7 linked regions of the Xenopus tropicalis genome follow. Each later gene encodes a partner of the first gene's protein in a complex. Links are inferred from orthologs where the notes say so. Each region holds a gene or a part of one and is shown on either strand. Other genes may lie near its edges. The genes, in order: morf4l1, phf12, vps72, mbtd1, sin3b, brd8 and epc1.

The links.
Region 2: the proteins of morf4l1 (region 1) and phf12 are in contact, whole or in part, in a cryo-EM structure (PDB 8BPA), measured with the Homo sapiens proteins. The link is inferred for Xenopus tropicalis from reciprocal best matches to the Homo sapiens genes MORF4L1 and PHF12. Residues at the interface, in NP_996670.1 of Homo sapiens: Glu201, Lys204, Pro205, Leu207, Val208, Asp209, Trp211, Asp212, Tyr251, Ala252, Glu255, Val256, Gly259, Ile260, Glu262, Tyr263, Val266, Met267, Thr270, Gln271, Leu272, Leu273, Tyr274, Lys275, Arg278, Pro279, Tyr281, Ala282, Leu285, Arg304; in NP_001028733.1 of Homo sapiens: Cys62, Glu64, Gln81, Cys82, Asn84, Pro86, Pro204, Leu206, Arg207, Arg208, Pro209, Phe210, Leu212, Leu213, Ile214, Ala216, Ala217, Arg220, Asn221, Pro222, Thr223, Gln224, Phe225, Gln226, Leu227, Pro228, Glu230, Leu231, Thr232, Thr330.
Region 3: morf4l1 (region 1) and vps72 share a complex: the UniProt entries of both Homo sapiens proteins name them as parts of the nuA4 histone acetyltransferase complex. The link is inferred for Xenopus tropicalis from reciprocal best matches to the Homo sapiens genes MORF4L1 and VPS72.
Region 4: morf4l1 (region 1) and mbtd1 share a complex: the UniProt entries of both Homo sapiens proteins name them as parts of the nuA4 histone acetyltransferase complex. The link is inferred for Xenopus tropicalis from reciprocal best matches to the Homo sapiens genes MORF4L1 and MBTD1.
Region 5: the proteins of morf4l1 (region 1) and sin3b are in contact, whole or in part, in a cryo-EM structure (PDB 8BPA), measured with the Homo sapiens proteins. The link is inferred for Xenopus tropicalis from reciprocal best matches to the Homo sapiens genes MORF4L1 and SIN3B. Residues at the interface, in NP_996670.1 of Homo sapiens: Gln217, Gln219, Tyr222, Ser348, Tyr350, Glu351, Val352, Ala353, Pro354, Pro355, Tyr357, His358; in NP_056075.1 of Homo sapiens: Cys394, Arg396, Arg402, Ala403, Pro405, Lys406, Thr407, Tyr408, Ser462, Phe463, Pro464.
Region 6: morf4l1 (region 1) and brd8 share a complex: the UniProt entries of both Homo sapiens proteins name them as parts of the nuA4 histone acetyltransferase complex. The link is inferred for Xenopus tropicalis from reciprocal best matches to the Homo sapiens genes MORF4L1 and BRD8.
Region 7: morf4l1 (region 1) and epc1 share a complex: the UniProt entries of both Homo sapiens proteins name them as parts of the nuA4 histone acetyltransferase complex. The link is inferred for Xenopus tropicalis from reciprocal best matches to the Homo sapiens genes MORF4L1 and EPC1.

What each region holds. Positions count from the first base shown.
Region 1 is NC_030679.2:118,095,689-118,099,960, forward strand, and holds the start of morf4l1 (mortality factor 4-like protein 1), read right to left. Parts: upstream 2,801-4,272; 5' UTR 2,737-2,800; coding exon of another isoform or gene 2,697-2,736; intron 1-2,696. UniProt on the Homo sapiens protein: Component of the NuA4 histone acetyltransferase (HAT) complex which is involved in transcriptional activation of select genes principally by acetylation of nucleosomal histones H4 and H2A.
Region 2 is NC_030678.2:33,959,008-33,962,507, reverse strand, and holds part of phf12 (PHD finger protein 12), read right to left. Parts: intron 2,996-3,500; coding exon 2,837-2,995; intron 1,606-2,836; coding exon 861-1,605; intron 1-860.
Region 3 is NC_030684.2:137,929,488-137,932,167, reverse strand, and holds the end of vps72 (vacuolar protein sorting-associated protein 72 homolog), read left to right. Parts: intron 1-316; coding exon 317-434; intron 435-524; coding exon 525-701; intron 702-790; coding exon 791-935; intron 936-1,186; coding exon 1,187-1,565; 3' UTR 1,566-2,180; downstream 2,181-2,680. UniProt on the Homo sapiens protein: Deposition-and-exchange histone chaperone specific for H2AZ1, specifically chaperones H2AZ1 and deposits it into nucleosomes.
Region 4 is NC_030686.2:23,317,743-23,321,851, forward strand, and holds the start of mbtd1 (MBT domain-containing protein 1), read right to left. Parts: upstream 2,801-4,109; 5' UTR 2,691-2,800; coding exon 2,670-2,690; intron 844-2,669; coding exon 642-843; intron 1-641. Other genes in the region: utp18 (U3 small nucleolar RNA-associated protein 18 homolog), read left to right, coding at 3,940-4,109. UniProt on the Homo sapiens protein: Chromatin reader component of the NuA4 histone acetyltransferase complex, a multiprotein complex involved in transcriptional activation of select genes principally by acetylation of nucleosomal histones H4 and H2A.
Region 5 is NC_030677.2:111,959,178-111,962,677, reverse strand, and holds part of sin3b (paired amphipathic helix protein Sin3b), read right to left. Parts: intron 470-3,500; coding exon 363-469; intron 277-362; coding exon 123-276; intron 13-122; coding exon 1-12.
Region 6 is NC_030679.2:47,817,573-47,821,072, forward strand, and holds part of brd8 (bromodomain-containing protein 8), read right to left. Parts: intron 2,969-3,500; coding exon 2,900-2,968; intron 2,788-2,899; coding exon 2,610-2,787; intron 2,198-2,609; coding exon 2,093-2,197; intron 1,240-2,092; coding exon 1,195-1,239; intron 639-1,194; coding exon 579-638; 3' UTR 1-578. UniProt on the Homo sapiens protein: May act as a coactivator during transcriptional activation by hormone-activated nuclear receptors (NR). Isoform 2 stimulates transcriptional activation by AR/DHTR, ESR1/NR3A1, RXRA/NR2B1 and THRB/ERBA2.
Region 7 is NC_030682.2:22,921,438-22,925,612, reverse strand, and holds the start of epc1 (enhancer of polycomb homolog 1), read right to left. Parts: upstream 2,801-4,175; 5' UTR 2,523-2,800; coding exon 2,370-2,522; intron 2,243-2,369; exon of another isoform or gene 1,318-2,242; intron 1-1,317. UniProt on the Homo sapiens protein: Component of the NuA4 histone acetyltransferase (HAT) complex, a multiprotein complex involved in transcriptional activation of select genes principally by acetylation of nucleosomal histones H4 and H2A.

The sequences.
Region 1 (4,272 bases):
CCAGATTGGGCAAAGATATACACTGACGGGTCCTGGGGTGTGGTTCTTTACCACCTTAGATTAGACAAATACTAAATTCCCCATTCACATACGGTCATACTGCACAATCTGGAACCTGCCCAAACACAAGCCATTTAGGATGCCCATGAGTAGGCAAGCTTTAGAGCATATGCAAGACTAAAAGTTTAAGCAGCACTGGTATAGCCAATATACAAACTTGCTACACAGAGATCCGTATGTTAGTAAGTCTAAGCACAGGATCTTTTAATTTACTCACAGTAAAATTCTTCCGGTGACAACTGGGAAAACAGCAATTGCAACAGAAGGTAAAGTGGATACTAGAATATACAGAATATATACAGAAGCTGCCATGAATCCTTTCTGCCTTCCTCTGGCTAAAAGTACAAAGAGCAACTTCTTTCCCCCTATGGCTTTTCCAAATCTTGCACAAGCAGCCACTGTCTCACTGGCAGGGTAAGCACAAGCCTCCTATAACAAATGGTATCAATCATATTTACACACACACTAAGTAGTAAAAATGGTGTGTGGTGTTACAGTTCAACAACTGTGGCTGGTAAACCATGGCCACAAGGTTAGTGGTAAATCAGGGGGCATATTTATTACAGTGTGTAAGCCAACATCACTAGTGATGGTGCCCATAGCAACCAATCAGTATTTAGAATTTGACAGTTACTTACAAGTTAGAAAACAAAAGATCACCAGAGATGTTGGCTTACACACTAAAAAAAAAAAAAAATATGCTGAGGTGTGTTGACAGCAAAGTCCTCTGGTGCAGAACAGCAGTAGTTAAAACACCAGTGTCACCACTGGTATTTAATAGCAAGGGCCCCTGTTCACACACAAAGAGGACCTCTGAGCGTGTGAACCTCCATGCAAAAAGTGACAGACCATTAGGAGTTGTGACAGATGGAGAGGAGCATTTTGACTTAACTGCATAAGCCTTTCCTCTAAAAAAGCATATCATAGTAAGGGCAACTCCATTAGGTTTCTGATATGTTAAAAAGGCAGCTATACATACACCAACAGTGTCAATTAATTTAAGCTGTTGATTGGCAGCAGAAAGAGCTCATTCTCTAGATGAGACATTCTCTATACCAGTGGTTGTCTGGCTTTATTAGTTCTAGACTCCACCACCCATGGCCACCAAACCTAACCTCATAACATGACTAAAGATATCTGAAAGAGACTGTTCCACATACTACTAGGTCAGGAAATAAGTTTTTATCCCAAATCTCACAAAGACTGGACTTCAGGCTAGACTGTCAAGTGTAACTAGAAGAGCAAATTGACAACTCCAAATTTCACTAATAGGGATATGATTCAGTGACAGTACAGTCCCAATGTTTCTTCATTAATGTCTTTGGCCAACAGTGCTGAGATCCACAGATGCAGAGAGATCCAACTACAGCAGCAACAGAAAATGAAGAAAGGGCTAAAGAGGACAAAGATGCTGTAAGGCAGGACTATGGTGGACTATTCTGGAATGACAGAACAAGAAATCAGATTCCTCACATTTTGATGCAGTACTAGAACACATGCTGGTGAGAGATTTAGAAGCAAGCCTGCTCTTCACTCTACCAAGATAGGACCTTTGTGACAGCAAAGTGATATAGGAATGGTGTAAAGTTAGTGGACCTAACCTTGCCCATTAAGGGCTCTGCCACACAGGGAGATTAGTCGCCCGCGACAAAACTCCCTGTTCGCGGGCGACTAATCTCCCCGAGTTGCCTTCCCCTGCCATCCCACCGGTGACTTACATGTTTGCCGGTGGGATGGCGGGTCATGGCAACTCGGGGAGATTAGTCGCCCGAGACAAGGGAGATTTGTCGCGGGCGACTAATCTCCCCGTGTGCCAGAGCCCTAAGAGTAAGGAAGGTGCCAAAGCAACAAGACTTTTGTTTGGGTGCAGGTTTGTAGAGAGAGCAGCTGGAAGGCCACATTTTCCATCCCTGCACTAAACACAGATCAGGTCAATATAAACCAACACCCCCATTACAACTGGTCAAGCTAAACACTGTATTTCTGCATGTGTCAGGCACAAGAAGCCGTAGGCAAGCCTATCCCCGTCCAGCTGCTCCCTATACAAGCAAGGCATTCTTATGAAGTCATGGTCCCGTCACTCCCACAATGGCGAAGAGGTAACCAAGCGTCTGAGCTACTGTCGCGCTATAAAAACGGGGTAACCAACCTGCGACTGCCCATCTGAGCTACTGCCGCACTGAGGCACGGCGCACAACAAAGATTTCCCGCTTGCTGCGCCTGCAGACAATGCCACGCCCCCTCCCCCATAAGGAAAATGCGAGATTTTACACGGAACACACTCTGCTGCGACTTCCCCACTCGAACTACATTTCCCAGCTTCCCCCATACAGCTAACCACGGCGGTCCTCAGGCTAGAGAACTGAACGATGTATGTCACCCCTTTAACGCAGTAAAGGCGAGGGGCGGATTTGTTTGACTGCAACTCTCAGACATTCGTAAGAGCTTGTATTGCCAGTTGCAGCCGAACAAATCCAAGAGCCGCAGATGCGATATCTTTCAGCCCATTAACTGCGCGCATTATTGGGGCACAGCGCTCTGCCGTCTGGTCTACCGCTCGGCGTTCACTTAGAGCAAAGGGGTGAGTGAAGACTACGGTGTAATGGTGGAAGCCACGTACAATGGCTTATGCTTACCCTCTTGGAACTTAGGCCTTGGGTCCTGCTTCGGCGCCATTTATAAACTCCGCGGCTCCCGGGAACGGATCCGCCGCATCTACTCACCGCGCGGACCCGCACGTCACCGCACGCCGCCTGCGCATGCGCGCAGGGATATGCCCAATGTGGCGAGCATGCGCAATAGCCACTAGCCCTCCCGGGGCACTATGGGAAATGTAGTTCGGCTTTAGTGGCGCAACCTCCCCCACCCTCACAAACAAAACAAGCATCTTCGCATTTCTGCTACAGTGGAAATAAGATGGAATGTTAATAAATAACATTTACTGTTCAAGACTAAATGCTAGGTAGGTACCTCAGGTATCTATTTCTATATCGATTTTAATGTTACTCGAGGCTGAATGCTTAGTTTACATATTCCAGAAAGTATTTTTTCATACAACGGCGCAAAATCTCACGCATTAACGTTTACTTAGTGTCTGGAAATACATAAGGCAAAATTTACCGAATGAAAACGTTACGCCCAACGTGGGGCTCGAACCCACGACCCTGAGATTAAGAGTCTCATGCTCTACCGACTGAGCTAGCCGGGCGCTGTTAATTCCGTTAATTTGCGCTCTAGTTACTAATAAGTATAAAGCAAAGTGAAATTTTCTCTGTTCTATCTATGGATTCTGGTCTTTTTTCCTCATAAAGTGTCAATTTACACTAATAACTCTTGCACACTCCTGCAGGGCAGGTATAAGCACAGAGGTCACCCACAGAGGCCAGCAAACAGTGGCATAACTAAAAGCTAATGGGTCTGACATTAAATTTATTTTAGCCCCCCCCCCTTAAAATTTACAAATAAGACAATTTTTATAAATCTATATTGCAGCTGTTTATTAGTCAATATCTTACAGGACCTCCTATTCCTCCTGGCAGTCCGGGACTGCAGCAGTGGCGTAACTATAGAGGAAAACCAGAACATATAGGGGCACAATTACTAATCCACGAACGTCCGAAAAGGGTCCGAATGCGTTTTTTCCGTAATGATCGGTATTTTGCGATTTTTTTAGTAAATTGTCGCAACTTTTTTGTAGCCGACGAAAGTTTCGGATTCATTCAAGCTTCAGTATCGTGACTTTCCTTGGGCCAGGTTGGAGCTGCAGAGTGTCATTGAGCCCTATGGGAGACTTTCCTTGGGCCGGGTTGGAGCTGCAGAGTGCCATTGAGCCCTATGGGAGACTTTCCTTGGGCTGGGTTGGAGCCGCAGAGTGCCATTGAGCCCTATGGGAGACTTTCCTTGGGCCAGGTTGGAACTGCAGAGTGCCATTGAGCCCTACGGGAGACTTTCCTTGGGCCAGGTTGGAGCTGCAGAGTGCCATTGAGCCCTACGGGAGACTTTCCTTGGGCCAGGTTGGAGCTGCAGAGTGCCATTGAGCCCTACGGGAGACATTCCTTGGGCCAGGTTGGAGCTGCAGAGTGCCATTGAGCCCTATGGGAGACTTTCCTTGGGCCGGGTTGGAGCAGCAGAGTGCCATTGAGCCCTATGGGAGACTTTCCTTGGGCCGGGTTGGAGCTGCAGAGTGCCATTGAGCCCTATGGGAGACTTTCC
Region 2 (3,500 bases), on another chromosome or scaffold:
TAGAAAGTACTTATGCACAGCTACTAAACGCCAGAACATACATCTGTTTTAGTAACAGTGACAAGTAGCTGCTACTAGTAGCTCTGTGTGTCTTCACCCTTAGGCTAATGTCTCACTGGCCATGTTAGTTGCCCACAATAGATCTCTGCAACTAACCGCTCTGAATTGCCTTTCCACCAGCAACAAAAGGAATTGCTTTAGTTTTCCGAAGCTGCCTGTAGGAGGAAACTTTGCGAGACTTCGGAAAACTGAAGCGATGCAAAGGCCTTTCCACCAGCCATTCCTATCGGTGCTGGTGGCAAGGCATTTTGGAGCGGTTAATCTCCAGCAATAGCAGAGATTTATTGCGGGTGACTAACACTCTCCTTGGGACATCAGCATTAAGGTGGCCATACAAGGCCCAATCAGCACGGTGTCAGACTGATTGGCCCATGGGCCAATCTGACAAACCATATGATTATCCATAAACATACACAGCACCTTTCTATTGTTCTGTTCGGAAACAGCAGGAAGTGTGGAGCCACGGATATGCATCTCCTCTTCCTTCACCAAAGTAAAATTTTCCCTCATGGCCAATAAGCCTCAAACCACCAGGATTGAGGTTTATCAGTTTTAGGGGCACCGCGACTGGCCATACATAGTCAAATGGTACGGTCAGAATTGTCCAAATTGCCTGACTGCAATCATTCTCCTTATCAATCATTATTAGGGCTCAAAATCTTGCAATAATATTAACAATGGGTTTCATATAGAATGTCTGGCCACCGTTATTAAGATAGCTAGAATCTAAGCCATAAAACAGGACCTGTTGGTTTGAGAAAAATAATAAACATGTAGGAATGAAAAGCCACCCAGCTTACCTGTAGGTGGTGGTGCTGCGGCACAAAGCCTTGAGGCCCCTGAAGCTGCAGAGGTTACTATGTCACAAACAGCTTGTGGTGGTGTAAGTGCCCTGGTACCAGATAAAGGTGAACTGACAGGCCTTGAGTCATGTTGGTTCACAGAAGCCCCAAGCGGAGTCTGTGCATTTTTCCTTGACAAAGTGCTAGAGGGTTCAGGACTAGTACAGGAGCTTGGAGGGGTAATGGCTGGTACTGGCAGCCGCTGAGTGCACATGGTTGAGCCTGCTGTTGTTTCAGTTTTCACAACATGGTTTGGGAGAGGCACAGATGCTGTTGGAGTGCCTGAACGAGGCCGTGCTTGTCTTTGTGACAACATTGCAGTCTGTCCAGTCAGCCTTTGAGGGTCCATCAGCTGTTCCATGGGCTCTGGGCTAACACTGTTAACATGAGGCCCATTTGCTTTAGACTCTGATACAGCAGGTCCATTTGTGGTTCCACAAGCAGCTGTGAGACATGGTTTTAGGACATAGGCAGTATCTTCTTGTAAGGATGTGGTCTGACTTGCAGAATGCAATCCTACAGGTGTGGGGAACTGGGGCTTGCCCTCGGTGTGCTGGTGAGAGTTGGAAACTGAGCCATCAGCTGCAATAACTGGCTTGATGTCCAATGAGTCTGTGTCATCAGAGGTCCAGGAAGGAGGCATCTGCTTAGCAGATAAATACTTCAGTATGCTGCACTGAAGTGCAACCACACTACGGAGCCACTAAAGAACAAAACAATTTCAGCAATTTAAATCAAGCATATCAGGTCTGAAGTTGCACAGGGGGTATGTAAATTTAAGAAGTAGCCTTTGTGGCCATGTAGGATAGCAGCTCATTAAAGAATAGCCTGCTATACAACTGGGTGCCTTTATCTGAAGGCAGAATAGTATGTATAAAGCACTGCAAGTTACTCTATATTAACATTTCCACCAAAACCAAACTCAGCACAAGGAACTTCCTATGGTTGCCTATGAAATGGCCCATCTCTGTGCACTGTGCAGGTAACCATGGCCCCACTAGCATAAAGTCACACTACTTAGACTGCTAGCCAAGCCCCCCTACTGCCCTCTAGCAATGGCATCATACTGGGCTAAAATTGCAGCAAGCTGAGCCAATAATGCTTTCACAAGAGGAAAATATACTGCTGGCTCTTAATATTTCCATTTTTTTTTTTGTAACATTAGCCTTAGAGCAAGACAGTAACTTGCACAGGTGCGGGTAGCATCCAACAGTAAGACAACAGCTAATTCCCAAAGAAACTCTGATTTGGGGGGTATAATGTCACTTATATTTTGACTTCAGAACAGTGAAAGTCAAAAAATGTCCAATCTAGCCAAAGCTTAAAAATGTTATATGCATTCAGACACCAAGTAGGGCTCAAACTACAAGTCAGTCAGGAAAGACCTAAGCCATTGCAGTTTGTTACTGTGAAGGCTAGCTGCTTGAGGCATTTAAACGTAGGACATGCATAACTACAGCAAACTTTTACCTTCCGACCGATAACCAAAAGTAAGCAAAACATGCACCTATAACAAGGATAAAAGCTGTATTGGGTTAGGTATTCCAAAATATTATTTCCAGCTTCTTAATGCATAATCCCTTTTGACAAACCAGAAAAAAAAAGTGCAAGCTATGACACACGTGTGTGCGTGTTTATCACAGTCACACCTGCCTGGTTTAGGGAAAAGTAGTTTGCAGCATCTGCCTTAGACCAACCATACTGTCCAACAAACTTACAGACCGCAACAGATCCAGTTTACAAACATCTATTTACAACAACACTAATAAAACAGAAGGAAGCTCATTTTTGAGGATGTCAGACCAACTGACAGTAACACACAGAATCTGTATCCATGCAGTAAGATTTTAATTTGTAAAAATGTAATTACTGGTCAGCTAGGTAAACTGTGGAGCTGCACTATCTTGCTTGAACGTGTTAAAACTGGCACTTACCTCTTGCTGCTCGCTTTGGTTAGCTAAGTGCTCAGAGTGCAATAGGTGCTTTTGAGATTCCCCAGGGTCACCGCTGCAAATCAATTCCCCGTCGCGTATTCCGGCTGGAGGAATTAACTGAGGAGGAGCCTGATACTGTGCCTTAATAGCATCTGGAACCTAGGACAAATAGGCTCAAGTTAGAAATTATGCTATTTATTAGAGGTTGTAATGTAAAGAAGAGAAGATTTATGGTCAAATATACTAATTAGATTAGAAAACAAGACTGTCAAACTGCCTAGTAGTTTAAAGCAAGTTTCCTGAAGCCTAACCAACTCCTACTGAAGTCCTGAGTGTGCAATACAGCACAGTGTAAGCATGTGGCTTCTGTTCAACTGAACTGTTGGTTGAAACACTTGGGAGTCTGTGCACCAGTTCACTTTAAGTGAAAAGCAACTGCACCGTTTTTCATCTTGGTATGCCACAGCCCTAAAACTGTCACAGACTCTTCTTTCAACAGCACTGTAAATGCAAAATGTACTTTTTAGATTGGGGGTAAATGATTGCCATGAGTCCAGCCAGATTGATTTTACATCTGGAATTGAAGACGTAATAATTACAAAATAAGAGTCTTTAGTACTTCAAAGGAGGCCATACACGGGCCGATTCGGCAGCTTATACTAGC
Region 3 (2,680 bases), on another chromosome or scaffold:
GAGAGCCATGCAGCCTTTCTTTTATATCTGTGTGTGTCTTGTACTTACTGAGAGCCATGCAGCCTTTCTTTTATATCTGTGTGTGTCTTGTACTTACTGAGAGCCATGCAGCCTTTCTTTTATATCTGTGTGTGTCTTGTACTTACTGAGAGCCATGCAGCCTTTCTTTTATAGCCGTGTGTGTCTTGTACTTACTGAGAGCCATGCAGCCTTTCTTTTATATCTGTGTGTCTTGTACTTACTGAGAGCCATGCAGCCTTTCTTTTATAGCCAGGCTATGCTACTTTTTTAATATTTCCTTGTATTCCCCAAACAGGAGCCAATTCAACTCCTTAAACCAAAGCCCAAGAAAGCAGATGCCCCTCCCAGCAGTGCAGCAAAAAGCCGCCCAGAAAAGCCTCACCCTCAGGAGACACCAGAGGACGCAGTAGACAGTGAGTATGCCGCGGGCAGTGAGCTAGGGGGTTTCCTATGCTCAGAATCCGATTGGCTCTCCTAACTAGTCTTCCCCTTTAAACTCTCAGGCCGCAAACAAATGCGCCAATCGACGACGGAGCACACGCGGCAGACTTTCCTGCGAGTAAAAGAGCGGCAGATCCAGTCCAAGAAAAAGAAGGGGCCCCACCAGGACCGACCGCTGACCCAGGTGGAGCTGCTGGAAGAAGCCAAGATCACCGAGGAGATCAACATCCGCTCCCTAGGTGCGTGAGTACCGCCACTCCCCGTCCCGCTCCGGTGCCCTCCCCCCCCCCCCCCCCGTGCTCCAATGGTTTCTCCCTTTCTCCCACAGAGAATTACGAGCGCCTGGAAGCCGACAGGAAGAAGCAGGTCCACAAGAAGCGACGGTGCGTCGGCCCCACCATCCGCCACCACTCGCTGGTCATGCCCCTCATCACCGAGCTCAACGTGAAGGAGGAGAATGTGGATGTGGAAGGGTAGGTGCAACATGGCAGCTCCTACTTTGTACAATTCCCTCTTCCCATTTGTTATGTGTAACAAGGGGCATCCTCAGTGGGCAAACCCATCAGTCATGTGATGCTGCCCTGTGTACATTACATTTCCATCCTTGATATTGAAGCAAACGCCTGGTTGTTAGGGTCAGTGACCCTAGCAACCAGATACTCACTTTCTTAACCATTACAACGTTTTCTCTTGTTGCTTTTCTTTTATGTGTTGGGGGCCACAGGCTGGATCAGGAGCAGACAGGGGACGGCGCCCAAGTTTCGTCCGCGGGCAAATGCTCCCGCACTTTCATAACATTCAGCGACGACGAATCCTTCGAGCGATTCTTCCCCAGGACCAAGCAGGGCAAGTTCTCAGTCCGGGACATCTGCCCCGTTACCCATAAGCCGGCCCAGTACCGAGACCCCATCACAGACATCCCCTACTATAACGCCAAAGCCTTCAAAATCATCCGGGACGCTTACAAAAAATACATCACCACGCACGGCCTGCCTAACGCCGCCATGGCGGCCGCTATGGGCCCCGCCCCCAGTTCTGCTGACGCCGCCCAACGCAACACGAGGCAGAAAATCATTATCAAGCAGAGCGTGCCAAGCGCCTGATACAGCGCCCTCTAGCGTCTGCCGGCCATTACAGCACTCTGAGAGAGTTATGTACAAAGGATTATTCCCATTGGGAAGCTGTAGAACATCTACAGGGGCCACATTGCTCCTCTGATTCCTGGAGTAGAAGAAATGGGAGGGGCCAGGGGGTTGAATTTCTTAATGAGCCCCCTCACATTTGGGGGGGGGGGGGCTGCTCCCCTTAGCAGTAATGTAATTGGCCGCCATTCAGTTCAAATTACCAAATGGTAAACCCCGCCCACCCCAAACACACACAGGGGACTGGGACACCTGCTTCCAATAGCAGCTAAACAAACAGTATGGGGGGTGGGGCAAAGGCACAGATGCAGTTACCAGGGTGGCTTTAACCTGACTGACGTACTGTATGTTATATAGGGCTGAGCTCTCTCTATAGGCTACTATCTGGTTGCTAGGGCTTGATTACCCTAGCAACCACACACCAGGTCCGATAACACACTATAAAAATTGAAGTCAGTTTGCATTTTGGTTTCCAGAGATGTTTTGTTGGTTAAATGCTCCTAGAGCACTGGGGGGGGGGGGGGGGGACTGTCTGTTATGTACATTATAATAAATTTGATTAGTAATTTCTGTGAATTGTAGTTAGTTGTGAGTTTTATTATGGCTTTTCATGCTGAGTAAAAGTACAGGGCGCCAGTGGCAGCATAGGGATTCCCCTGTACTAAGCACAATTCAGCAGGAACAGCCCCCTAAGTTTGCCCATAGCCTGTACAGAGAGATACCATAAAACTATGGCACATAGGGATTCCCCTGTACTAAGCACAATTCAGCAGGAACAGCCCCCTAAGTTTGCTCTTAGCCTGTACAGAGAGATACCATAAAACTATGGCACATAGGGATTCCCCTGTACTAAGCACAATTCAGCAGGAACAGCCCCCTAAGTTTGCCCATAGCCTGTACAGAGATATACCATTAAACTATGGCACATAGGGATTCCCCTGTACTAAGCACAATTCAGCAGGAACAGCCCCCTAAGTTTGCCCATAGCCTGTACAGAGAGATACCATAAAACTATGGCACATAGGGATTCCCCTGTACTAAGTACAATTCAGCAGGAACAGCCCCCTAAGTTTGCC
Region 4 (4,109 bases), on another chromosome or scaffold:
ACATTAAAAAAGAAAGCCAATAGCTCTGCAGTGCACACAACACTGAGTAATACATCTTCCTTTTGTGTACAGAAAAGAAAGAAAAATCTGAACTTGATAAAATAATTTTCCCTGTGAAAATGTTTTCACAATAATTATTTACATTGATTTTCCAGTAAGTATTAAAAGTACGTGCAGAGAGAAGCAAAGTTTGCTTTGTTGTTACTGCAATTTTACAACTTGCTTTAAAGAAACATCAACAATTTAAAAAGTGTTTTAAAGTAATTAAAATATAATGTGCTGTTGTCCTGCACTGGTAAAAGTTGTGTGTTTGCAATTGTATAGCCACGGGGGAAGCAATTCAAGCTGAGCAATTGAGAAAATGCACAGCAGATGAGGTCTGTAAGATACAATGGTGTTTTACAGAGCTTAACTGTTATAGCAATGTAACCTGTGCCATTTAGCCCTGTTTCAATTTGAATAGCTACCCCCATGGCTACACAGCAGCTTTGTTTAAATAAACTGCAGAAGCGTTTCTGCAACAACAGACAACTTTTACCAGTGCAGGGCAACACTGTTCCTTCAACTAGAGCACATTGAGAGAAATGGCTCATCATTTGCACATATCCCTTTTTCTTTGAACATAAAATCACTTTACATACCCATTCCTGATTTGCCATCTGGGTATGTGTAAACCTGCCCATTGTTTTTGATAATGGGCAGACTGGATGGCAAGGGGGCGACTTCCTCTTCACTCTCATCCGAGCTGGAACTGCTGCTGGTGTCCTCACTGCAGCTATCATATCCGTCAAACATTCCGAATGAGTCCCGACGTTTTCTCTCAGAAAGTGAAGAAAGATCAGCCTAAACATGTATAAAAGAAAAAAGGAATTTCAATTGACTTTATAGCTTTGGTTGCTGTTACCAAACCCAACTTCTAGATGGATTTCTAGTTGCTATATTCTCTGCCCCAAGCAACCTTTCCTTCACTGGAAAGACTTCAGCAGGGGCCAAAATGCAAACCTGTATTTTCTTACATATATTATAGGAAAAAGACACTCATACTGGGTTGAGTAATTCTGGAATGGCTCTGTGCAATGAATGTTTAATGGAGATTGATGGGAAGCAGAAGAAGCAAAATATCGCTCTAGCACAGAAACCATAGCAACTTGTTTTTGCTTTCATTGCGATAATTACAATAAAAAAATCCCATGTGAATATGCCGATTTTGTTCTTCAGAAAAGGTAGGTTGGTCTAGGATCCTCCCCTTCTCTGCAAGAACTGGTTGCCTTTCTAGTTTGACTAGTTTAGCTACATAAGCAACCTTAAGGCAACATTACTGGATACAAACACAAAGATTTCTACATGAACATCTCACTGAATAAAACAGGATAAAAGAATAAAATAAAACCCATCCTTTCTTCCCTATTGGCATCAAGCATCTTCTTAATTACCAGGTGACAATGCCAATCTCAATTCCCATAAAGAAAGCGACAAAACCCAGCATCATTTTGAACTACTGATTTGTGGAATTACTGGCTCTACAACATAACTACAACAGTCAAGGTTTAATAATGCACTAGTACAGTACACAGACTTTAGCCTTGACTAGCATATGTGATTCTGACAAATGAAATAAGTATGCACTATTTAAAAGTGTGTAAAAAAATCTTTACATATTCTAACAATTTCTGGCTTCTAATAATAACAGATAGGTAATACAAATGAACCAACACAGAAGAGGCAAACAAATGGCTGGGTTGATAGCTGGAACCCACATTGTTAGCCTGGTTCAGGGCTGTGTGCAGAGACTGGAAGTTGAGAATTCAAAGAACAACATTGAAAACAAAATAAACTGCTTCCACAGTGAAACTGAAGACTGTCTTTTAGCCTTCAGCCCTAGTGTCAGGTTAGTGCCTTATAACCATAAATCACACACTCACACACAGCAAAGAACTTCTATTACACTCTGTGGAAGCAGCTATGGGACCCACTTGTTTGGCAAGGTTGCCAAAACATTAAACTGCTAATTGCTCAGAAGCATTTGCAGATTAGGGACAATGGGTTACAAAATTAGTGTAAAACAGACGTTATATTTATGAATTCCCCTAATAAATGTATAGCACACAAAGGCCTTTCATTACTTCCCACACTGATCATCAGTCTGCCTATTTTTTTGCCTAATGCACAACATAATACACTTTCAAGAGCAACTTGAGCTCCTATGCATGCGTTGCTGAATTATTGTGTGGAATGCACCATATATGAACACATAGGCATAACTTTACTTTTAATAGTTACTAAGTCAACAAAGTGGCAAATGAGATGGAAGGTGTGTATAATTCCTATCTGTTGGGCTTTGGTACCAATTCCCTACCTTTACCTTACTGAGCATCATGAGTGTACATGTAGAAAGTGCAAGCATACCAACAGCAGTCAGGCTGAGAGCTGGAGTGTTGAGTTTAACATGCCTATATCCTGCTGGCTTGCTATACCCTCTTCTTAAGGACTTTATTGTACATGAGGCTTAGTGTTAAACACATTTTGTCCGGTTTCCAAACGCACGGTACCCTGGCCCCAGCCCAAACTACCCTCACTTCCCAGAAACCACAAGGCCTCGTTGCATACAGAAATGACAACAAAAGAGCCAGGGCAGCAGCACTTCCATACACCCCGTGCCCTTTACTTACCAGATCCTTGGTCTTTTCCATTAGTCCCTCATGAGGAAATCGTGTATGCAGCCCCCGCTGTCAGCGGGCTGGGACAATCCAAGAAAATAGAGACTAAAAAAAGAGCAAAACAATGAACTCCTTCAAAATATCAACAAAACCAGAAACACTTTACTGCGCAGGCGCAACGCTAAACCTACAGCAATTGGCTGCGGGTTTATATAGTAAGAGCCGTGCCTCCGCGAATAACCTAGTTTGGCACGTTTCGGGTGCCGTGGCTTCCGGTGGCTTGTAGCTATTACGGAAGTACTTAGAACGTCGGAAAGTGCTAAAAACGGATTGTTTCACGTAGCGGTGCAGTAAGGGCTTTTTCGGATATACAAGTTTAAGTACACTCGAAAGGTACAAGGTAAATTATCTTGCTGCGTCTCTTTCGCTAGAAACATGTATTTCCGGGTTGTAGAGGGCAAAGGTCACCGGAAGTTCCACGTGCGTTGGGCACAGTGAGTGGAACGTTCAGCTTTATATCTGCGAAAGAAAACGGTGTCTTGTGCATGTTTTATATTGGCATTTGCACACGTTGTTGAGACTCAAGAGGCACGTCCCTCCTGTTTACTTGCTAAGCATTTCTATTTTTGCCGTCAGGTTTTTTTTTTGGAATTGTATATTGTATATTGCAAACTAGCCAGATTGATACGGTTACTACTGTATCTCTTAAAAATACGGTTCACTCATAAAAACACCTATTGCAGAAGTGATCAGTTATTATTTTAGAAGAATACAGATTAGCAGCCAGCATTCACCTCTCATTTTGTGTATTTCATATGTGGGCATTCTGCTAGAACTGGTAGTTAACCTTTGCAATGACTTTTATTATTATTATTATATCATTAGTTTTGTTTAGCAGCAATATAGTTGGGAGTTTTAGCAGCTATCTGGTTGCTAAGGTCCAAATTACCTAGGCAACTTTTTAACTATTACCTATTAGCAACTTTTTGCGTAAACATTAGCTCTGTATCAATTTATAACATGGCTGGTTTGTATTAGCAACTGGAAGATGGCATACTAGGGGAGATTAGTTACTTGTGGTAAATCTGTGCTGCCACAGGGACTAATCTGAAAGTGCTTTGGGTTACTTTTTAAGAAACTACTATGTTTTTGTTGAACTTTTTGAGTAAACATTAGCTCTGTATCAATTTATAACATGGCTTGTATTTAGATAATTTAAAATGAGTTTTTATAACTTTAATGTTTTTTTATTTATGCTGGTTTTACAGATTCTGCTGTGGAAATGCTTTCTATCGAGGGTAATGAAAATGAAAGAAAGAAGACTTCCCATAAGAAAAGGCGAAGAGACAAATCTCCAGAGCAAGAGCAAAACATGAAGGAGGAGGAGGAGCTGAGGACCAAACATTTAAAGGCTTTGGCAGACAAACCAGAGACAGATACGATTTTAGAAGA
Region 5 (3,500 bases), on another chromosome or scaffold:
ATCTGATGACACCTACAAAAAAAAAAAAAAATTCAGTTCAGTGTATTTTTTTATTAATCTGCTCCAAGCATACAGTGTTTTATCTGCCCAACCCCCGATTTTTATATCCTGGTGTCACTTACAGGGCTAGCCAGGGATGTCTGAACAACCACTTTGCCATTTTTTGGAAGTTCAATTTTGTAACCAAGTGGCAGAAAGGCATTAAATCCAAGCATCAGGTCTGGATGCTCGTGGAACAGCTGAGAGACCCTGCGGATAACTCCAGGAGTGTCAATGCTGCAAAAAAAAAAAAAAAAAATAAATTAGAGCAGTGTCCTTCTCTATAGCATAAAAAAATTATCCTGGTCTGCCAAAAACCATACCTCTGAGATTTGAATTCTTTCATAATCTCCAAGAATCCACTATAAGTAGCTGGATCACTTCCAAAACGGATTTTTACTTGGTCCAAATAAGAAAGAGCATCTTCCACCTATAATTTAAAAAAGTAGACATTTCACACTCATAAAACAAACACATTATACTGGATAAAGGATTACTGATTGGCTAAGCTCAGGTATACCCTTCTCCACTGACACTGAAAGAACATTAACATTCTCTAGCAGTCAGGAACATACAGGTATGCTCAGGGAAAACTTCTCCCTGCTGCACGAATAATGGATTCCCCCCCCCCCCCCAGTGCCACCTGATGTTAAAAAGGATGAAATCTATGTAGACCTAATCATACATGATGATGATGGGGTAAGTGTGAAATGTTATATTTATATATTTTTATATGTTTTTGTAATAATAGATCCCATACCTATAATTCTTTTAAACAGTTTAATCCATGTTCTTACAAATGAAAACATTATAGATGCTATTGTTGACAAACACTTTCTTAAAGTAAAGAACTAAATTTATATTGTCACAACACTTCCCACAATGCCCTGCATGCTTATTCACAGATGTGTTATTCAGCTGGCATCTTCTATTTTGCTGCAAGAGTTAGCAGTGCAAGAAAAAGCAGGGGAAAAAAATGCTTTAAATACCATTTCCAAAAAAAGTTGAAATAATTGAAGAATTGTGTTGAATATACACTGCAAAGTTGCTTAAAATGTATTAGGCACTATGGTTTTAGGTTTACAACTCCTCCCATACCTATAAACCAGCAATCAATATTTTCTTACAAGCTGGGGGTATTATTTAGCTACAAAACTTCACACATTGGCAGTGCACTCCAGGTCAGCATAAAAAGCTGCAATAGCTGGTATTAAAATCAATCAACCTTTATTTGCGCATTTAAAAAACACAACTTGAGGTCTTACGCATTTCGTGACAGCGCACTTCCTCAGAGAGGTCCTGGAGTGCACTGCCAATTTGTGAAGTTTTGTGACGAGATTGGTCCGCTGGCTACAGACTCAGGGCAGGAGCACCCGGGTCAACAGGACTGTTTGGTAAGCATAATGCTTTCTTGTTTGGAAGTAGGTTCACCCTGGCCGTGAGTTTTTGCACCTGAGTGCAAGGTCTGCGGCATGTTGCACCTGGACCAGAGGTGGGGTGAGCAGTTTTTGTGTGGGGGAACCTGTATTGCTCTTTCCAGACAGGCACCTGTATTTTTAAAACTAATATCCATGTTTAAACTAGCCCTTAAACTGTGTGCTGTGGATATATCATTTTTTCATGTGGTATTATTTAGCTGCCTACCAGTAAAGGGCAATCTACCCTACTGCGTTTTGATTAGAGTGTAGGATAGAGGTAATAAGCACTGCAGGGTTAATAAAACAAAAGACACAGTTAATTAAACCAAATTCACTCGTAGCATTTCAATCTTTTGTGCAACCATTGGTCATTCCCACCCTCCACTGTGGTTCAGGGCTGAATCGTCAGATATGGAGGTAGAAACAATAGAAATTCTACCTCCATCTGCCGATTCAGCCCTGAACGTAGATTTTGCTTGGGCGCCATCAAAATCTTTTAACCTGGCGGATCGAAAAGTCGACCGATATCTGCAGCCTTTTGCGATATCGGTAGCCTCTTCGAGCCGCCATACACACACCAAATATCGTACGAAACTTTGTCATCGGTGCGTGTATGGTGGGCTTAAAGTTGATTTTATTATAAGGAACAACAGAAGTCCAATTAAAGGCATTTATGATTGAGATCCCCAACATTATCAGATAGAGTTATTAGCCTCCCTGATATTTGAAACAAAGTTACTGTGATGTCCTTCATTTCATGCCCCCCATTTTCTAGACAAATATTCCTATGATCTTGACCTTATCCTACCTTACACTAATATCAGGAAAACTAGCTTGTTATATATAAGTAGAGTATATTCTCTTTGGTTAAGTGCTTTCTTCATCACTTCTTTTTATTTTGAGGGATGCACCAAATACACTATTTTCGGATTCTGGCGAACCCTGAATTCTTTGCGAAAGATTTAGCTGAAAACCGAACTGAATCCAAAGTTTCATATGCAAACTAGGAAGGAAACTAGATGGAAGAACTGCATGTGCAGTGCAAATTTTTTAACTTCCGTGTTTATGTGACAAAAATTTACTGTGATTTTAAGAATTTGGTTCGGCCAGGACTATGCATTTAGCCGAACCCAAATCCTGCTGAAAAAGTCCGAAACTTGGCCAAATTCTGAACCAAATCCTGGATTTGGTGCATTTTTTTTTTTTGGCATTCTCAGTGGCATGCCGTGTCAAAAAAAACCCCAAAAACCTGTTACATGGTCAGCTATCCAAAGAAGGAAAACCTGAAGTTTTGTCAAGTTTAAAGGAGATTGGCACACAACAAGCTTTGTCACTGGGTAGAAATTGCATCTTACAGCAGCAACAAAACACTCCAAAATAACTTGACATCATTAACAGTGAGAATTGTTGCAAGCAAAGGCAATGTCATGCCATTACACACTACAAAATGTTTTACCCAAGACAACTGCCATTTTAGTCAGTAAAGGGGTGTTTGCAGTTGCTTTGTCGCCCCCAGGGAGCGTGAGTGCCCTCACTTGAAGCACATGTGCCTTTTCACAGATACAAATACAAGTGTTTAGCTTCATGCAACAATGTAACATACACAAATCCATAGATCTCTTGAAATAAGTATTACATGAGAGATTTCAATATCTTTTTTTGCTTTCAATGATTCATGCACACTGAGTGTCACATTTAGAGAGAGACTTGCTTAGCATGTTTTTAAAAGGGGCAGAACACTCCCTTTTTTCAATAAATAGGACTTGTGCTAAACATGCTTTTTGTGACTAATCTATTCCTTGAGATAAACTTGGCAAACTGAAGCTACTCCATATTTGGTCCCTGCAAGTTAAATAATTAGATTACAGGAAATCTTACAAATATTTTGCCTGCATAATGGACTTTGGCTCATTTGTGCACTGGTATTCAAATTATCTAACATGCAACTAACTAAACATGAGGTAGCTTTGGTTTCCCTGTTTAGCTAACAAAAATAATGTAAAGCATAGTTTTTTTTTTTAGATTTCAACAACAGTATATTCA
Region 6 (3,500 bases), about 70 Mb from region 1:
GTTAAATGTATATAGTTAAATGTATTTTTATTTACTGATGTTACGGTCCATTTAAATATGAGTTCTGCCAACGAGCAAAAATAACAGCTTGAAATCACTTACTAAAGCATTGTCTATAAATAGACAGTGGGGGGGGGAAGATTAACACAGGCTAAAGAATTCTCACATATTTCCAAAGAACTGAAATTAGATTTTACCCCAGGAGGTGAGAGTCAGTAAGAAGAAAAAGGCTCCTCCAGGGCAGAGTGAATTTACATAGTTACACAAGGCTAAAATGTACTATATACTGTAGTACAAATTGCGCAAATAAATATTTTCAATTACAGCAACTTTTTCCAGTTTTGGACAATTCAAAACAAAATCAAGACAGTTGTTTAAACATAGTTTTACTGTACATTATTTACAAGTTATTCACAATATATTGACAACAATTTAATAGGTGAATGGAATTTGCTTGTGGCAAAAACCAATCTATTTTGTTTGGGAGTGTTTTGCTTCAACTGGAATGGCAATCTATTCTTCTATTTCTAACAGATCACTCAATCATTATGGCGCCTGATTTTCTAGATGGGTACACCTCACTTCTTCATTTTCATGTCTGCTTCAATAGCACAACGGCGGCCTCGTGTACCTCCATCCTATTAGGTAAAAACAGGAAGGATTAGAAAAGCACCCTGGATGCATTTTTAAGCTAAACCTTGCAGCACACATAATTATTTATATTGCAACACATTAGGCAAAATGCAATACTCTACATACCTTCAGTTCTCCGACATCAGAATTTTTTAACTTTGCCTCACTCTAGTGCTGACTCAACCCTGCCTGTTTGCAGATTTGCATGTTCTCTGAAGTGCTGCTCTTAATAATAGTAAATCTGCACTGAAGAAAATATTCTTCTTTTCCATTTCACTCTGTACTTTGGTTTATTTTTTTTAGGTGCAATTTAAAACTTATATAAATCCAGCAAAAACATGAATAGCTTTTTGCTAAAGCTCTGCTATAAACCACCATTTTGAGAAAAAAGCTGCACAGAAATGTAGGAAGCAGTTTAAGTTGCAGTAGAAACAGAACAGCATTACCAATAAAGCACATAGAAAACACTTTCAGGACTTTGTCTGATAGCTTTCATTACTAAAGGAAGCAGGATATGAAAGATACAACCTTTCAAACCCAGTGCAGCAATTCAATACTTACAAAGAGAGAGAGAAGGAAGGCAGGAGAGCCCATGGGGACACTGTCCTGTTAACAGACAAACAGAAAAACAGGTCAGATTCCATGGAGACTCTCCAACACAAAACACGCATTTCAGACACACGTGACAGTAAATGAAGCAGAAGAGAAGACAAGCCCACAACATTAAGCTCAAAGTTGCAAACACAAGAAACCCATAGAAAAACACTGTTTTGATATAAATATTTCACAAAATTCACATGGGCTAAGAAAGCAAAGCAAGCACTCCACCACCAAAAACTTTAGTTACTTTATCATAAATAGAAAATTAGTTAGCAAAAGTATCAAATACTTTCCACTATTAATTAAAGACCAGCATAATTTGCTCGGTATACTAGGAGCGCACATTATCGATTGAATAGTGCCTCCATTGAAAGGTAAAAAAGTATATAAATTTCAGTTTTATATAAATTTTTCCCCAGTTGTTAATCTTATGACTTCTCTCATATTATGACTAATATTTTGGCCCCTATTGCATGTGTAACATAGAGATCTAAATATATATCTATTTTCAGCCTGCAGTTTTCCCTAGCTGCTATGAAGGAGATATTGACTTCCTTATGCCCTCCTACAGTCTGCCTGTCTAGTTAAAAATCCCTTTAGTAAGCCAACAGATGACGTGATCAGTTGAATGTGGCCATTACTCCAGGCAAAGATAAGCTGAAACAGACCCTTTCAACCACACCATGCACAAAGATATGCCACAGGGCTTTCACAGACTGCCTTTTTTTTTATAAACATCTGTACATTTCTTGGGGATTGAAGCAGCTCTAAATTAAAAGAAATAATTGTTATCAATAACGAACAGTGATAGCTAGGCCTCTCTGCACTGGCAGACATTAGTAAACATGGATATTTTTACCTTCTCTGAAGCATCTTGCTTGCGTGTTGAATCTCGAAACCTTAGACTTTTTGCACTTATGCCTGACTCTGATGTCTGCATGATTAACTGGGTGGCCAGAAATTGCTGTGTATGAGAAACAAATCATGAGCATATTATATTGGAATTATTATAAAAGGTATACTTTGAAAAAATAAATGGTGTGTTGGATCTTTAAAAGTACACAAGAAACTAATGACCACTCAAAACTGAATTTAGCAGCCTAAATTCTTAAACTAGGAGACCTAACCATTTGTGCTGGCTTGGGGGGGGGGAGGAAAAAGGTCAAGAGATGGATTAAGTCTTGAAATAATTGACGCATGGGTTGTAGGCTTCCTTTGTCCTTTTGGGTCACAGCTTAATGAGATTGAGTCTATGGCTGGAAAATGCATGCCATGTGCCTAAAATAATATATACAGGCCACATAAAAGTAAAATCTAGTTAGAAATTGACTATTGCATGGTTCAGCCTAGCCTGAAGTTATCAGGAAATTAGATACCTGGATCTGTTCCAACACATCTCTCTGCATTTCAACAGCCATATGATACACATCATGGTCAGAGCTATTATACATGACTGCATTCTGGAACATGAGCATAATATCTCGTTGAAACTCTGCAGTGCTCCTGATTAATCCAGTTTCAATGTTTTTCTTTATTGTAGATAAATCCATAGGTCTTGGAGGTAATAAACAAAGGAAAGGATATTAAAAGGGATCAAATAAAAAATCATTAAGCCCAACTAACAACATAACTTGTCAAATTCATTATATATCCATCCTTGCCTTACCTGTGTACAATGCTGTGATAGCCAGGGGCTATATCATCTGTCACAGGCTGCAGGAAAACATTGGCATATCTAGGAAAAGAGATTACATACACTCTAAGATTTACGATTTATGTAAAGAGAACTTCAAACTCTGATATATCAAAGATTTAAAATGCTATATCAGATTAAAGTAAAACCAGTAGCAGTTTTTAATGAAATCACAGCAGGTTTGTTGATATTCACAGTTATTCAGATTACAGTCCCAATGAAAATATGAAAATTGTCACCAACATGTTTTCTCTTAAGCTACTGCAGCACATGGCTGACTCTCTGCCTGCATATTAACACAGACAGAGAAATGGCTGATTTGGAGTTGATGGCACAATAATGTGAAAAAGCATTTTTTGTGCCAAATCTAATCTGTGTGTCTGCACACAGGCAACACTGTGTATGTCAGTGCAATTACATCATAAAGTGGACCATGATTTGTTACATTAACATTAAAGAAAAAGTAAACCTTTAAAATAATTAAATGTAAAATTTAAGAGATTGCTATTCTAAGCACTTTAGCAATTTACATTAATTATTTATTAATTTCAAGATATTAAGGGATAAAATACTG
Region 7 (4,175 bases), on another chromosome or scaffold:
ATATAAGGACAGGTCACATGGCTGTGGCTCCCTGAGAAATGAATATGCCTAGCCCCATCTGAAATTTCAAAACTTAATATAAAAAATCTGTTTGAACTTTAATAAAACAAATTCCAATGCAGGATTCTGCTGGAGAAGCTCTATTGACTGATGTGTTTTGGAAAATAAAAAAATACATTTTCCCATGACAACATTCCTTTAATCACTTATAGCATCATTAAGTTCTTTCAAAAATGCATCAGCCCATCTCTAATCCAACACTAAGTAAAATTTGGATTTAATTTATCTGTCATGGTCTGAAACTGATAATGTGACCTTAAATTAATCACCTACACAACAATGTGCCATCCTGATAAGGTTTACTTCCATGGGGCAGTTCTGAGAAAAGGGCCTTTGTGCCATTAGCCTGAGCTTTGCTGTTCTACACTTTAGGGCTCTGGCACACGGGGAGATTAGTCGCCCGCGATACATGTCATGACAAATCGCGACACAGGGAGATTTGTCGCGGGCGACTAATCTCCCCGTGTGCCAGAGCCCTTAGGGCGAAGACATGTGGATCGATTAAATGCGGTGACTTTTTAAAAAGGCGGTGGCGGCACCATAGGATACTATACAGGACGCTGCAACTAATCATGCGCCGATTTGCACTGCATGGATTAGTTGCCACACGTCTTCGTTCTTACAGCAAAGTAGAACCTGACGAAGAGGCCCACCCCCAAAAGGTTGCTTCATGTGCTGCAGTGTTCCTTGCATGGCCATTTAGTAGGGGTTCCCTATACTTTTTTTAGCACCAGGTTACTTATTTTTGAGAGGCCAGGCGTGTGTAGTTTTTGATTCTGGTATGTTTTGGGTCAGGCCGATACTGAATACTCTGTACAAACAGCAGGTTTGTATTAACTGATGAGTAGTGCCCCAGTGCTTATGGCCCCACTCACGCCAGACAGGTGCAGCAATGACAGGCTGTACGGCCCCAGCTCACACACAGATACAGTCATGTGAATATGTTATGGAAGCTGGGGTGCAGAAGCCCCAAGAATGCAGATGATAACATACACTGACAGACTGCTGGCACGTGCAACCCAACTTGGGGTACTACCATTGCTTACCAATCAGATATACTCCATGCAGTCAGAAACATCAACTGTCTCCTACAGAAGTCCAACAAAGGTCAGAAGGAAAAAGCCAATTCTACTCTCACTTAAAAGCAAAATGTCAACATACTACACTTACATATATTATCTACAGCGAGGCCAATCCCCAGCCCTCACAGCAGCTTCACACTGGGTCCCAAACAAAACATTTCTTTAAAATGCAAAACTGATGATTAACCCAGGGCTGCATTATGGAGAAAATCTGTCAAAATGCAACTACATTACATGGCGCTTTACAGGCATCATTTCTGCCTCACATCAGTCCCTGCACCAGCAGAGCTTACAATCTAAGGTTCCTACAACATTTATATACACTAGTGCCACATTTTATTAGGAGTCAGCTAAGCTGCCTGTATGTGTTGGAGAGACCATTCCAGCCAATGGTTAATCCTAAATAGACAGCAATGCACTGGCCAAACCCTGTGTTACACCCCATTAAATATATACATCTAACAGTATAGCTTTAATCAGAGAACCTTTAGTAGATCATATTACTGACTATATTCCCCACAGCACAAGCTCAAGTCAGCAAAGTGGTTTATTTGTGCATTATGGAGGGATTGTACCCCCCTGGGAGGCATCAGAATGAACTACTACAATGAATAAAACGTGTGCCATGAACTAAGTTTACGCTTAAAAAGCTGATTTATTATATACACACACACACACACACATATATATGACATGGCCGATACATAAGAGATAGTTTCAAGCAATGGCGTGTTTCTATACAACTCCACAAAGACAGCAGAGAAACTACTACAGCATGCCGGCTCTCAGCTGTCAATCAGCTCCCAACGTACACAAACAATCCCACAAGGTGAGCAACTCCTGATCGCCAGCTCCCCCCAGCGACCGCACTTGGAGCTGCAACCCCGCTCAACAACCAGGCCCAACCCCAAAAGACAGGGAGAGAAACACACACAACAAAATGGCGGACCGCGGCCCCATCACGTGACCCCTTTGTGCCTTCCCGGCCGCTAAATTCTTCCCAGGTATCACCGGCGGACACACCGGGGACATATATCCCCACAGGGAGATCCGCTTTAGCCTCACGAGCCACCCCCGAGGATGGAATGACAGGGGGAGAGGTATGTGCGCCATCCCCGTTCCCGTCAGGGAGGAAAATGGCGGCCATTTTGTGTAAGCTTGCGCAGAGCTGGGACCGGGCGGAGAGGGGTAAAAGCGGTAAAGAGAAAGTGAAAAACGGTGCATTACCGACTCCTCTTCCTTCTCCATGCCCGTCGGCATCTGCGGCACGGCCCGGTTGATGGAGGCATACTCGTGCAAGTCCGGTAAATCCTCGCAGCGGAAGACGGGTAACGGTTTGGACGCGTCCAGCGCCCGCGCCCGGAACGATAATTTACTCATGGTGTGTCTAGCAGCGAGCCATGCGACCGACGAGCGGGGAAAATCTCCCGTGCCGCGCTCTCATGGAGCTCTCTCCGCGCCCCCCCTCGCTGCCTCCCCGCCAGCCTTGTTGTTCCGATAATAATGATTAATATTAGACAGGGCGCTTATCCTGGCACTCCCGGTGCCCGTGGCTCAGTTTGGGGGGTGGTTTGGTGGGAGTCTGTGTGCTCCTGTGGGCCAGTCTCTCCCTCCCTCTTCAATACGCCATGGCCAACATGGCGGACATTAAAACTCCGCTGTCTGCTCCCCCAGCCAACCCGAGCTGCGCAGCCATTCCCAGAGTGCATCGCGCGTTTGCGCGCTCTCCGGGCCCGCAGAGAAAAGCGGGGGCGCGCACAGCCGCTTCTCGTGCCCGCGCCTCTGTGACAGGACCCCGGTGCTTGAAGGGTCCCTCCACCTGGCGCCCTGCTGGGATGTGTAACAACACCAACAGCTTCACAAGGGAAATAAACCACTAATATGTGAATAAAAAGAAAATGTCTTTCTAAGCAACTTTATAATAAACAGACATTAAAGTTATTGGCAAACGTTATTGCAATTAATAGCACTGCCTGTCCCTGTTGTAAATCATGAAACAGTGTAGCACAAGTGAACTCTTCTGTCCAGTCAGGACTGCTATCAGCTACATTGTTTGATTTCAGCCTTCCATGCATATGGGCTTATGACTTCAATTGGCTCTCATCAGTGTCAGACTGGGAACCCTAAACCCAGTGTTGGACTGAGATACCAGGGGCCCACCAGAAAACCTTAGACCCCAGGCCCGCTTTCCAAACTATTTTTTTCTCTTTTCCTCACCCAGCCTCTTTATTCTCCTAGTCCCTTTTATTAACATGCTAGCATATATTCTTCCATTTATTTCTCCTCTTTCTTCCCATACTGAAATAGGGAATGAACATGAAACAGGCCAAATGATCAGGAGGGCCCACGGGGAGTTTTCCTGGTATCCTGGTGGGCCAGTCTGACACTGGGTCTTCATACATGGAGGGTTGTCCACTTCAAGCCCCCGTAACAACAAATACAGTCAAACCACAATTTTACATTCTCCAGGGTGCCAAAAATTGGGGTGCTACTGTATCTGCTTTTGTAGCAGTTTCGCCAAAATTTTCACCATAGCCCATAGAAATACAGGTGGCAGCCACATGCCCACCAAAGTCTTGTTGGTTTGTACCAAGAGGAGAACCAGCTTTGGGCTTTTACACACAGGTGATTCGCCCTGCATTTTCGGTGTAATGCGCTGCAGGAAAACACTGTGAAATGCCCGTGTGTAGGAGCCCAGCAGCTATCCAGACCCATTATTCTGACAGCTATGGAGTTATAAAGGAAGTATTCATCTTCCTATGTTGAAGACATTCTTTATCCAGAAGTTATTTCTTATTTAATCTAACCAAGTATTTCATCCTTGGTCATTTTTTAACCTTTGCTTTTTTGGCAGAGTCTGTAGATAGCATTGTTTGCAAATATACATATATGCCAGTAAATAAGGCTCCCTTGCACCAATGTGTCTTTCCAACCAAAATATATAACTAATAGAAATAAAAGCCTTACAGATGGTTCTGTACAGATCTTTCTGCATCTTTTTACTTTAAAAGGGTAGTTCACCTTTAAGTTAAT